Linked DNA regions of Mus musculus. The protein of the gene in region 3 purifies or fractionates together with the protein of the main gene of each other region. This does not show direct contact. Links are inferred from orthologs where the notes say so. Each region holds a gene or a part of one and is shown on either strand. Other genes may lie near its edges. The genes, in order: Usp3, Fbxo11 and Snai1.

Region 1 (3,742 bases), on a different chromosome or scaffold from region 3:
TACAACTTGGGGAAGTGGTAGAGTTGCTTGGACTGAGGAATCTGAAATACCACCCTGGGCAGAGATGTCCTAGGTGGGTGGACACTATCAGGCAGAAGGCTACAGGGTGCAGTAGTGGGGTGTACGGAAGTGGCTTAAGGGGTGCTAGAGGCGTGCACTTCAGGGAGGTGCCCAGTGCTAACTAACCACTATCCGGCCCAGCCAGTTAATCATTTCCTGACCTTTCCTTTCCTGCCCCATGGATTGGCACATTGTTCTTCCCTCTCCACTTGCTTGTCAGGGGATGAAGGAAAGAAGCCCCTTTACCAGGTTAAACACCACCAACCAAACAAAGAAAGAAAGCCCAACTTTGGAGGCTAGATTTGTGGGAGCCCCAGATATCCTCAAGGCAGAGAATGTGAGGTGGCAGGCTCTCTACCTCTAGACGCTCCTCCTGTCTTCTTCACTTCTTTCTAGAGAGAGATTTGAAGCGGGGGGGGGGGGGGTGCGGGGGTCCAATCTTCCTAAAGCAAATTATACTCTTGGTTTCACTTTTTGTTAAAAAGGGGACCGTAGCAGCAGCTTGAGAGGGTGTTTTGAGGATTAAATGAGGTGTGGTATGCAAAGTGCCTGGCTGGGAGCCAGGTGGGCTTCTAACAAATGTTACACTGCCTCTTTTTATTACCTAGCACCCGCGACCTTGTACAGCAAACTGGATTATTTCGTTCAACTTCAAGAGGTATAGGTATGAAAATACCCACAATGGGCAGGAGATATCAGTGAGTCATAACGGCATGGCGTGGACCCCGAACACAGGCGTTCCGGTGGGCCCAGCCGTGCAGTATCCCGGTGACACACTCAGGCCAGAGTTCAGAACTCAGAACAGTTCCGGACCCCGCCTGCTACCGGGAGAACACGAAAGTCAGGACTGTTCTGGGCTCTTTGCAGCCGGCTGGGCCATCGAGGGCCACGCCCCAAAAGTCTGTTTCTTCCTGTGTAAAATGGGGCTTCAATGCACGTCGGTGTGAGTGGTTTTCATTTTCCGTACTCTTTGCGGTGTGGTCACATATTCTACCTCGCTGTTGTAGCCAACTCACTGCAGTAGAAGCAGCGGTCCCGACCGCTCTGCCCCGGATGAGTACCCACACTTGTCGGGTTCCCAAGAATCGGCTGCAGCGGCCGGGGGCAGATTTCGGAAAGTCACTTCACATCCCCGTAGGACTTTACACTAGCTGCTAGCACTGGGTGAGCACCAATGCCCCGCCCACTGACTAGTGTGGGGGCGGGGCCCGGGCTGGCCTGGGGGCGTAACCAGCAGGGTGGGCGGGGCCGCCGGAGAAGGCGGAAGCCTACTGTCCCTGGGCGGCGGCAGAACCAGGAGTCCGGATTTTCACGTTCTCCGGAGCGGGGCGCCGGGAGACGGCGGATGGCAAAACCCGGCGCCCGGAAGCCCTTGCTTTCTTTGACGCAAAGGCTCGGGACCCAGAAGCCGCCGTCTGCCCAGTGCCGGGTCAGAAGCGACCCCAGACGGAGCCTCTGAAGTCCCTCCGCCCCAGAGCCTCGGCTGTCCCCGCCGCCGTCCTCGTGGCCATGGAGTGTCCGCACCTCAGCTCCAGCGTCTGCATCGCCCCGGACTCAGCCAAGTTCCCCAACGGCTCCCCGTCGTCCTGGTGCTGCAGCGGTGAGTGCGGCTCTGGGGCTGGCCGGCCGCGCACCCGAGGTCCCGGCTCTGGCCCGGGCCTTGCCGTCGAAGGGCCGCGGGTGCGGGGCAGCGCGCGGCCTCGTTGGGGGGGGGGGGAGGCTGAGGGGAGCAAGCGGGCCCGGCGCGCGGGGCGAGGGGACGCGGCGCGGCGCGGCGGGCGCGGTGGCGGCTCCTTTGTTTCGCGCGGCCCGACGGCCGGGCCGGCTGAGGAGAGGCCCGCGGGGGCCTGAGGCGAGCGCGCAGCGGCGGGATGACGCGGCGGCTCGCACCCCAAGGCTCCGCGAACCTAAGGGCCGGCTCCGCGCGCGGCCGCACGTGTGGCGGGGTCGGGCTCGCGGTCCCCCGTGGGCCGGACAGGCAAAGCGCCGCTCTGCGGGCGCAGCTTTGTCTGGACTGCCGGCGCGCGAGCCCCTTTGGGTTGCGTTTCCTCGGGTTCCCACAGGCTCCTGCCTCCCCCGCAGCCCCTGAGCGGACTGCGCTGGGGGCTGCTCACCTCGGAGTCTCTCTTCAGCCTGTGAGGGTGAAGTTTGAAAACAGGCTGCGGGCTCCGAAAGCTCCGGAGAAGGCAGCCAACAGCTGCTTTGGAGGGGCGGCTCGAGGTTGGGTGTTTTGGGTTTTTTTGTTTTTTTTTGTTTTGCCTTTCGAAGATTGTTCCGAGGCAGTTTTTCGGGTTGGCAGGGATTTCGTTGGGAATTCCCGAGTGCGTGTAAGACACTTCGTAGGTTTATGTTATGCCTTCGAGTTGCTTAAGCGTTAACTCCTTCTGCTTCCTTGGAAGCCCCGGTGCCCTCTCATTGTCTGCCGGGACTTAAGGTCGGACGGGCCACCCGGCTTTGATTACTTCCTGGTAGGGCCCTGGTGCCGACGCTGGTCTTTGTTTATGAGCTTTAAGATTATCACTGGCAGCTTGGGCTGTAGTGTAAAATGTGAATCGTGTGCATCAGAAATCAAGTTCATCTGCAAGGCTGAAAAGACGGTGGGACGATTCAGCAGAGTGGTCTTTCAGCCTGGGTTGGATTGGAGCTAGGAAGGTAGTTTAGGGACTGCTTTAATACTTTTGACGTACTACTTCTTCAAAGGGGATTATATTCTTGAAGCAAAATATACGGGGTAACACAAGGAAAACTGTCCTCCAGGATAAGGAATAGAAATAACTGCAGTTTTCTGGAGCTCCAAGACTTGGTGTCTTGCTTACCTTTGTAAAGTCAGGTGTCTTTCTTCTGTTCTGCATGAAGCCTTTAAAGATTAATAAGTTAATTGGTTTCACAGGACAGTATTGCAGTTCCTTTGGTTTGTGAGACTGGGTTTCTATGATAGCCCAGGGTGACCTAGAATTTATAATTTTCCTCTCTCAGCCCTTGGAGTGCTGGGATTATAGGCATGTGCTACCCCTTCTGGGCCAGTATTGCAGTTCTTTGTGGGAGTGCAGAACTTGTGTGAATGGGTCTTACCTGTAAATACATCTTCAACAGTGAGTCTTGAGCTTGGAACATAACACTACCAACAACAGGCCAGTCCATGTGGTCTGTTAGTTCATTAGCTGTAGCTGTGGGGCTATAGTTGAATTTTCTCAAGAGAGATTTGTCACACACACACACACACACACACACACCCTCTCACTAGGAAAAGCTTACACCTCACAAGGAATGGGGCACTTCTTGTTCATCTGTAGTCAACTACAGGGATTCCGAGATGGGTGTATCAATACAAGCCTAATTTTTTTTCTATGTAAAATTATATCAAACTTAGAAATGGCTTCACTGTGCACATGCATCTAAAAAAATTATGCAAGTGGCAGGTATCCTGTTGTGAGTCAGTCTTGCCTCCATCAGTTAGGGAGTCCACTTTGGGGAAAAGAGACAGCAAATGAAGCCCCTCTTGAGGAATTCAGCACATTAAAATGGAGCATAACTGGGAGACTTGTGCTGAAAACAAGAACAAATTAGTAATGGAAGGGTGATTTCTTTACAACGTGCAGTAAATGGTTGCCTCTGACCCTGTTTTGGAAGGATGGGTCTAATCACTTGCATTTATAGTACTAATAAAGCTAGTTTCACAACT
Region 2 (3,742 bases), on a different chromosome or scaffold from region 3:
CAAAATGTCTCCTAACAATTCTCCTCTTTAAAACAACCATACACAAAATACCGTGCTGACTTACACCCCGCTGCAAGCAGCTCATTAATAAAGAGACTAGTTATGTTTGGAGATCAAGGTGCAACACTCTCATCTCACAAACCTCTCTCCACGTAACCACATCATTCAAGCAAAACCGAACATTATTTTTGCTAAAGCAAGAATCCAACCCCAGGGAGCCTCAGCCCTTAGACAATGGTGGTTACCAGACAGCGCAGCACAGTTGGGTCCAAATGACACATTTCACTAGGCCTTGGTCACAACACGCGCGCGGGCGCGCGCTCGTCTACATACAGCTACACACACGATCCCAAGGGGCCCGTTCTACGGCGAGGGTGCTCAAACCCACCCGGAGACCGAGGGGAGCACCGTGGCGTAGTGGGTTGGAGAGGAAAGGGGGACGACACAGCGGAAGGGTAACTGCACTGCACACGAGGGAGGGGGCTGGAAATGGCCGATAGCTTCTATATTTATTTATTTAAAGGTATTGATTTAACGGGTTCTTCCCCGGGGTTCTGTAACTAAAGGCAAACTGTGCAGCAAAGATGTTGTGGTCGAGAGAGGGGCCGAGGCTCCCCCTGCCCTGCGACCTGGAAGGGGGCACGCAAGTTCCCCAGCCAGCGCGGCGGACCACTCCGGCGCTCCTCTCCCCCTCCTCCAGGGCAAGGGGGAGCCCACAGAGAAGGGGAAAACAAGTTCCCCGGCCAGCCTCACCGCCCCACGCAGCCAGCCGTCCCCCCACCTACCACGAGAAAGGGGGAGCCCAGATCGAGCCAGGCGCAGAAAGGGGGGAAATCCCACCCTCCTGCCCGCCCCCGGCCGCGAACAGACTCCCGTGGGGTGGGCGAGCCAGCCGGGAAGCCCCAAGGAGGGGTGGGGACGGAGGGTGCCAGCCCCGAAACCAAACAAAGCGCGGCCTGAGCCGCAGCCCGGGCGGATCGCGCAGCCGCGGCTTTTCCTGCCGGCCAGGCCCGGCCGGGCCGGGCCCAGGCGAACACTGCGGCACGGTGGGACCCGCCTCCGCTCGGCCTCCGTCTCCCACCCCGGGCGCGCCGCCGCCGCCGCCGCCGCCCCCGCCCGGCCTCCCGCCCGCCCAGCCAGGCCCCGAGCGCGGCCTTACCCCTCTCGCCGGCGTTGTTCCGATCCTGAGGCGGCGGCGGAGGCGGCGGGGGCGGCGGCGGGGGCTGCTGCTGCGGCGGCGGCGGGGGCTGCTGCTGCGGCGGCTGCTGGGGCGGCTGCGGCGGCGGCTGTTGCTGAGGCGGCTGCGGCGGCGGCTGCTGCGGGGGCTGCTGCTGCTGCTGTTGCACCGGGCGCGGCCGCGACACTCGCCTGGGTCTCCGGTTGGCGGCTCGGACGGAGTTCATTTGCCGGGCTGAGGTGGCGGCGTTGGCGGAGGGACACACACACTCACGCGCACACGCACCGCGAGCTCCGGGGCCGGGGAGGAAGGGGGTGGGGAGCGGGAAGGAGCGGGGCGGCCGGGGACGCGGGGACCGGGGGGCCACCGGGCGTGAGCTTCCCCCGGCTCCGCGGGGAGGCTGGGGGCACCACCGGAGCTTGAGCGAGGCCCGCCGGCCGGGCCTGGCGCACGGGCAAGGCCGAGGCCGCCGGGCGGGGCGGCCGCGAGGGACGCAGACAGAGAGACGGGCCGGGCAAGAGAAAGAAAGAAAGGGCGTCCGTCCGCCTGGGGAGCCCGAGGCGAAGCGCGGCGGCGGCCGAGCAGACGAGCCGGGCCCGCCGACTCCCGAGCGGCGTCTCCGGCAGCGGCGGCGGCGGGGGGAGTGGGCGGACGGGCGATCTCGGAGAGGGCGAGCCGAGCGGGGCGGGAGCGCGCGGGGGGCGCCCGGCTCCTCCGTTCCTCGTCCTCCCCCCACACCCCCTGAAAGAGCGCCCTGCGAGGAATTTTCTCTTTCTTCGGCCTCTTCTCTCTCCTCCGCCCCCCCCACCCCCACCCTCGGCGAAGGGGAAATGAGTGTAAAAGGGAGGAGATAGGGGCAAAAGAGGCGTCGTCGTTCCTCCTCCTTAAAGGAACCTTCCCTCCTCAGCCCCAGCGCCGCCGCCGCCGCTGCCGCTGCTGCTGCTGCCGCTGCTGCTGCTGCTGCTGCTCCGTGGCAGGAGGAGCCATTGACACCGCCGGAGCCTCTCCGCTCAAGCCCTGTCGGTCCCTCCCCGCCGCGGGGCTGGCCGGGGGGCGCGGGGGGAGGGCCGCGAGCCGGCGGGGGAGGGGCGGGGGCGGGGACAGAGGGGGCGTGGATTCCGGCGGGGCCTGACCAATGGGAAGCGCCCGTACGGTGTCGGAGCCAATGGAGCCTCCTCTCTTATCGCGGAGCCCCCTTCCTCCAACACCCTGTTTCCTCTCTCGGGTTTCCTCCTTCCCCGACGGAGGAGGAGGAGGAGGAAAGAGGAAAGGGGGGAGTGTGGCAGGGCGGGTGATAATGGGGAGGTATCAGGGCATATAATGGAGCCGGGGGTGGGCGAAGGAGCGGCAGTACGTAGCGAAGGTTCTAGGATAGGAGGTGCTCTGAAGGAAGGGCGGGGGCTGCTGATGCAATTGGGAGAAGTGATTAATCCTGCCTTTTGCCGGTTCAGCCTCCCTCCACCCCAACCTTCACCTGGTTCTCTTAAACGCCACAAGGAGTGAGGGACTCCGTCTTGGGTAACTCCGGATTTCTGGGCTCGGTAGGTTCAAGCTCTCAGCTGTAGGGAGCGCTCCAGGCTCTGTGCGTTTTTAGTCCAGCTGAAGGGATTTATTTGCAAACCTTAAGAAATCTTGTTTCGGCTCTGCTGAGAACTTAAGAGAGAGTCTGGAGTCGGTTCCAGCTTTTGTCGCCCAAACTTTCAGAATGTTTTAGATCTTTAACCAAGTTAGTTTGCTTTAGGCTTTTTTTTTGGGGGGGGGGGGGGGGCAAGTGGTCTACATGGTGTTCCGGAAGAAGTAAAATAAAACGGGTGGAGGTTGTGATGGATTATATTGGTTTTGTTTTAGGTCCCACGAAGTCAAGAAAGATAAACCCCCGAGAGGAATAATCTTTTGTATCTGTGTCTGGTCCCCTTAGCACAATCTCTCCCCAAGGAAAATGTGTTTCTATTCCCTGGCCGCCGTTATGAAGACTGAAAATGTACTCCGCTCACTATTCCTTATTGCATAGCTAGTGGTTTATCTCTGGATTCCCTCATTTCGGAGCTGTCAGTGATTTTCTACTTGAATTTCATTGATTGCTTTCTAGGCTTAAGATAGATAAAACATTACAAAGCTTCAGAAAGGGAGGGAGAAAAGTGAATTCTAAGGGACGCACAGGAGAGGTAAGTCTACGGTATTGTGCTATGTGTAAATTACAGATTTTTTTCTTTTTTTCTTTTTTTCTTTTTCTTTTTTTTTTTCTTTTTTCTTTCTTGGTTTTTTGAGACAGAATTTCTCTGTGTAGTCCTGGCTGTCCTGGAACTCATTCTGTAGATCAGGCTGGCCTCTAACTCAGAAATCCGCCTGCCTCTGCCTCCCACGTGCTGGGATTAAAGGCATTCGCCACCACTGTTGGCAAATCACCCTTCTAGATGTCAGACATCTCCTGCCATTTAAATAATAACCTATCATATGATGTACAATTGCTGGGTTTTTTTTTTTCTTTTTTGGTCATGTGATTTTCAAAGACTCACAATCTTTTCAAAACCTGTATGTGAAGACAGCTATTTGAAAAATATCTTG
Region 3 (3,742 bases):
GCTAGTCCACAGGCGGTGCCCTTTGGTTGGATTCTAGTGATGGAATTCGGGGCTGAGGAATGGCGCCTGGGTGTGCTGAGCCTCTGGATAGAGGAAATCTCAGCAGGGATCCTGCGGGATCCACCCACTCAGCAGGTATTCACTGAACAGAGCCGCTTTCAGCCCCCCTAGGGGGCACAAACCCACACAAGTCTTCAGCTACACAGGTGGGGCTCCAAAGCCCTGGGTGGTGGTGGACCTTGGCAATCTGTGGGTCCCTACAAGTAAGGGGTGTTGCCCCCTCCCTAGAATGGCCTAACCACTACCTGTCCGTTTAGCAGGGACAGGCGAACTGAAGTACTTAACAAAAGGGAGGTTTCAAGATAACACAGGGTGGGATGGAGCTGGGAGTCTCTGGGCTTGCACAGGAAGTGTAGACACCCCCCCCCCCACACACACACACACTCTCTCTCTCTTCACAGATCCCCGACCCCCAGACGCCTTCATAGTGTTCCTGGCAAGTGTGAAATCGGCACCAGGCCGGCTGGGACAAAGGCCACTAAGGGGGACACTGTACATGTGATACCCCCTGGATTAAAGGGGCCTGCCGTGCAATGAGCCAGCAGCTGCGGCCAAGAACAGGTGCTGGGCACCGCTGCCCCGTGCACCTGCTCTAACCCTGCAGGCCCCCACCCCCTGGGCTACCATTAAGACACACAATGGAACTCCTAGAGAACTGGGTGGTGCATTTCAAGGAGGGTTTTGTCTGAGCCATGCCTTTACATCAAAACAAAGTCCCTGGGGGGTGGGGGGTGGTCGGAGGCAGCCTAGGACCCTGAGGGCTTCAGCTCTTCCCCAAAGTAGAGCCCCACAGCTTAGCAACCCAGCCGGAGAGAGGCAGCCTGTTACACTTTTATAGGTTAAATCTGAGGCAATCCGTGCCTGGGGGGGGGAAACGGGTAATCTTATTCAAGTAATAAAGGTGTCAGTGAGACCTGCAAATACCTCCCTGCCACCCCCAGGCCTCACTGCCCCAATGCTGGCCACCACAAGAGACGCACAGCTCTACCCCAAAGCCTGACACACTTTCCAAAGAGCAGCCCAACCGGAACCCCCACCAAGCCTGGCTGAAGCCTTCCCTCACTTCTAGAAGCTTCCCACGTGGCCCAAGGCTGAGAGGACAGCAAAGTCATGTCTTTGTTTCTCTTCTTAAAAAAAAAAAAAAAAAAAAAAAAAAAAGATGTGTCTATTCTATTCTTGTCCTACATGGATTGGTATGTTGCCTGCATGTATGTCTGTATGAGGGTGTCAGGTCCTCTGGAACTGGACTCTTAACAGGCAGTTAGTTAAGTTGTGAACTACCATGTGTGCTGGGAATTGAACTCAGGACCTCTGGAAGAGTAGCCAGTGCTCTAACCACTGAGCCGTCTTCATAGTCACTGGGAAGTCATTTCTTAGTGGCACCTGCACCTAGCACTTCACTCTACAAAGACCCCACGAAGTGTTCTCTGATACATTTTAGAAACGAGGAAACTGGGGAAGTTCTCGACTCAGGATTCAAGGCCAGGTGCAGAATATCCTGTCTAGCAATATCCTGTCTGACTTCTACAGTGTGGGTTGAGCCCGGATAGGGAACACCTCTTCACTCCTAGCCTCGAACAGCAAGGTACAGAATGGAGAACAACCAACATCTACTTTGTCCACTGCTTGGCAGCCTTAGGAGTAAGTGTTGAGTCCCCCCAGGGTCTAAGGCCAAACAGCCCAGACTCAGAGCTCAGCTATGCACACTCACTCACCAGTGTGGGTGCGGACGTGGCCCTGAAGCAGCCAGGGCCTAGAGAAGGCCTTTCCACAGGTCGTGCAGACACAAGGCAGCGTGTGGCTTCGGATGTGCATCTTCAGAGCGCCCAGGCTGAGGTACTCCTTGTTACAATATTTGCAGTTGAAGATCTTCCGCGACTGGGGGTCCTTGGCCACCGAGAGCCTGGCCAGCTGCTTGGGAAGTTGGCCCAAGCCAGGGAAGGCGATGAAGGCCTCGGCCTCCAGGGAGGAGGCCGAGGTGGACGAGAAGGACGACGGCGCCGGCGAGGGCGGGCTGGGCGGCTGGGAGCTTTTGCCACTGTCCTCATCGGACAGCGAGGTCAGCTCTACGGCCTTGGGGCTCTCCCGCAGCGGGAGGGTGGCCCAGGCAACCGGCCGCACTTGGGGTACCAGGAGAGAGTCCCAGATGAGGGTGGGCAGCGAAGCGGCGGGGTTGAGGACCTCGGGCGGAGGGATGGCGGCCAGCAGGTGGGCCTGGTCGTAGGGCTGCTGGAAGGTGAACTCTGCGGGAAGAGAAGAGACAGCAGGGAGTCAGCTGAGCGGATTCTCGGGGCGCCAGGTGGGGGGGCTTCCCGCCCGCCCCTCCCCTCCCCCGCCCGGACTCCGCAAAGCTACCCCCGCCTTCGAGTCTTCAACTCCCGGAGCCTCCCCGTCCCGGGTCAAAGACACCCTCGGTGGATCCCAACTGCCAAGACCCGGAGCTCCAGATCCACCTGTCGCGCCCGCAGAGCCCGATTCTCACCTCCCCCCAGCACCCTTGGGATCCCCCCCAGCCGCCCGCGTCCCGCACCCCACCACGCACCCACACACGCGTCCTGCAGCTCGCTATAGTTGGGCTTCCGGCGGGGGTCGGACGGCTTCCTGACCAGGAAGGAGCGCGGCATGTTGGCCAGAGCGACCTAGGTAGTCGGGGTCACCGGGTCGCGCAAGGTCGGTAGTCAACTCCGCTCGCGAGGCCCGGCCGCACACTACGATCCCCTAGCAGCAGCAAATTCCTTTAAGTACCAGGGCTGGGGGCGTGACCGTACTGTTGGTCACGCCCCTTTGTCAAGGCTGAGCCAATGGCTGGCGGCGGCGCGGCCGGAGACTGAGACCGGAGCAGGTGCGCCTGGGCTGCTGGGGCTCCCGCCGCGTGGCGCTGAGATTCCGCTTGGGCTCCTCCCGGACCGGACCGCGCGGCTTCCGAGCTCCTCGGGCGACCCCTGGTGGCCGCGCCTGCCCCACGACGAGCGCGGTGCCCCGCAACATCCCCGAGCTGCTGACCTTTGGGCGCTGGGGAGCCAGAAAGTGCGATGATATGCACGCGCTTAGGGGTTCCTGGAACTGTCTACACAGCCCTGAACAAAACACTACCCAGGGATGCCCTACGCAAGGATGGCTTCCCGGCCGTGGGAGAGAGAGACAGACAGAATAAACAGAGGATTCGAATACTAAAGGGAGGTGTGATTTGATGAAAGGAGGTGGGGAGAGACAGCTGTGACTGTCAATGAACGGTCACCTGACAGGGGAGGGTGTCTATGACTTCCTAGAGGAAGTGAAGAAGCACCGAGGGGAAAGGCCCGGGGTAAGAATCAGTAACTTCTGCCTGTCCAACCTTTGAGAGCAGGTTCCAGGATGAGGTTGGTGTTGGGCAGACCCTGAGGGGTCCGATTTCCTGGCCTCGGGTCTTTGGAGGAGTTTGGACTTTGCCTTACAGGCACTGGGGAGTCACGGAAGGACTTTCAGCTGAGGACGGACGTGTTTAGAGTTGCATTGTGAAACACCAATAAGGGCAGGTGCGAGGCAGAGGTAGCAAGGACCAGGGCTAAGGCTCCCGACTTCCTGAAAATCGTGTTGGAACGTTCACAGGGAGGAAGGGTGGCCTCGGAAACCAAACCCACACCCCCATAGTATGGGGTTATAAACACCTATAAAGCAGAGGGTCTACGGAAACCTCTGGGGC

Evidence for each region.
Region 1: the proteins of Snai1 (region 3) and Usp3 purify together in Homo sapiens (affinity purification with western blotting; 3 studies listed by BioGRID). This does not show direct contact. The link is inferred for Mus musculus from reciprocal best matches to the Homo sapiens genes SNAI1 and USP3.
Region 2: the proteins of Snai1 (region 3) and Fbxo11 purify together in Homo sapiens (affinity purification with western blotting; 3 studies listed by BioGRID and IntAct, with this or other methods). This does not show direct contact. The link is inferred for Mus musculus from reciprocal best matches to the Homo sapiens genes SNAI1 and FBXO11.

What each region holds. Positions count from the first base shown.
Region 1 is NC_000075.6:66,590,702-66,594,443, reverse strand, and holds the start of Usp3 (ubiquitin carboxyl-terminal hydrolase 3), read left to right. Parts: upstream 1-1,328; 5' UTR 1,329-1,569; coding exon 1,570-1,660; intron 1,661-1,662; exon of another isoform or gene 1,663-1,931; coding exon of another isoform or gene 1,932-2,280; intron 2,281-3,742. UniProt on the Homo sapiens protein: Deubiquitinase that plays a role in several cellular processes including transcriptional regulation, cell cycle progression or innate immunity.
Region 2 is NC_000083.6:88,063,850-88,067,591, forward strand, and holds the start of Fbxo11 (F-box only protein 11), read right to left. Parts: upstream 2,197-3,742; 5' UTR 1,404-2,196; coding exon 1,160-1,403; intron 1,084-1,159; exon of another isoform or gene 786-1,083; intron 693-785; exon of another isoform or gene 246-692; intron 1-245. UniProt on the Homo sapiens protein: Substrate recognition component of a SCF (SKP1-CUL1-F-box protein) E3 ubiquitin-protein ligase complex which mediates the ubiquitination and subsequent proteasomal degradation of target proteins, such as DTL/CDT2, BCL6, SNAI1 and PRDM1/BLIMP1.
Region 3 is NC_000068.7:167,537,232-167,540,973, reverse strand, and holds the start of Snai1 (zinc finger protein SNAI1), read right to left. Parts: upstream 2,780-3,742; 5' UTR 2,685-2,779; coding exon 2,603-2,684; intron 2,304-2,602; coding exon 1,776-2,303; intron 1-1,775. UniProt on the Homo sapiens protein: Involved in induction of the epithelial to mesenchymal transition (EMT), formation and maintenance of embryonic mesoderm, growth arrest, survival and cell migration.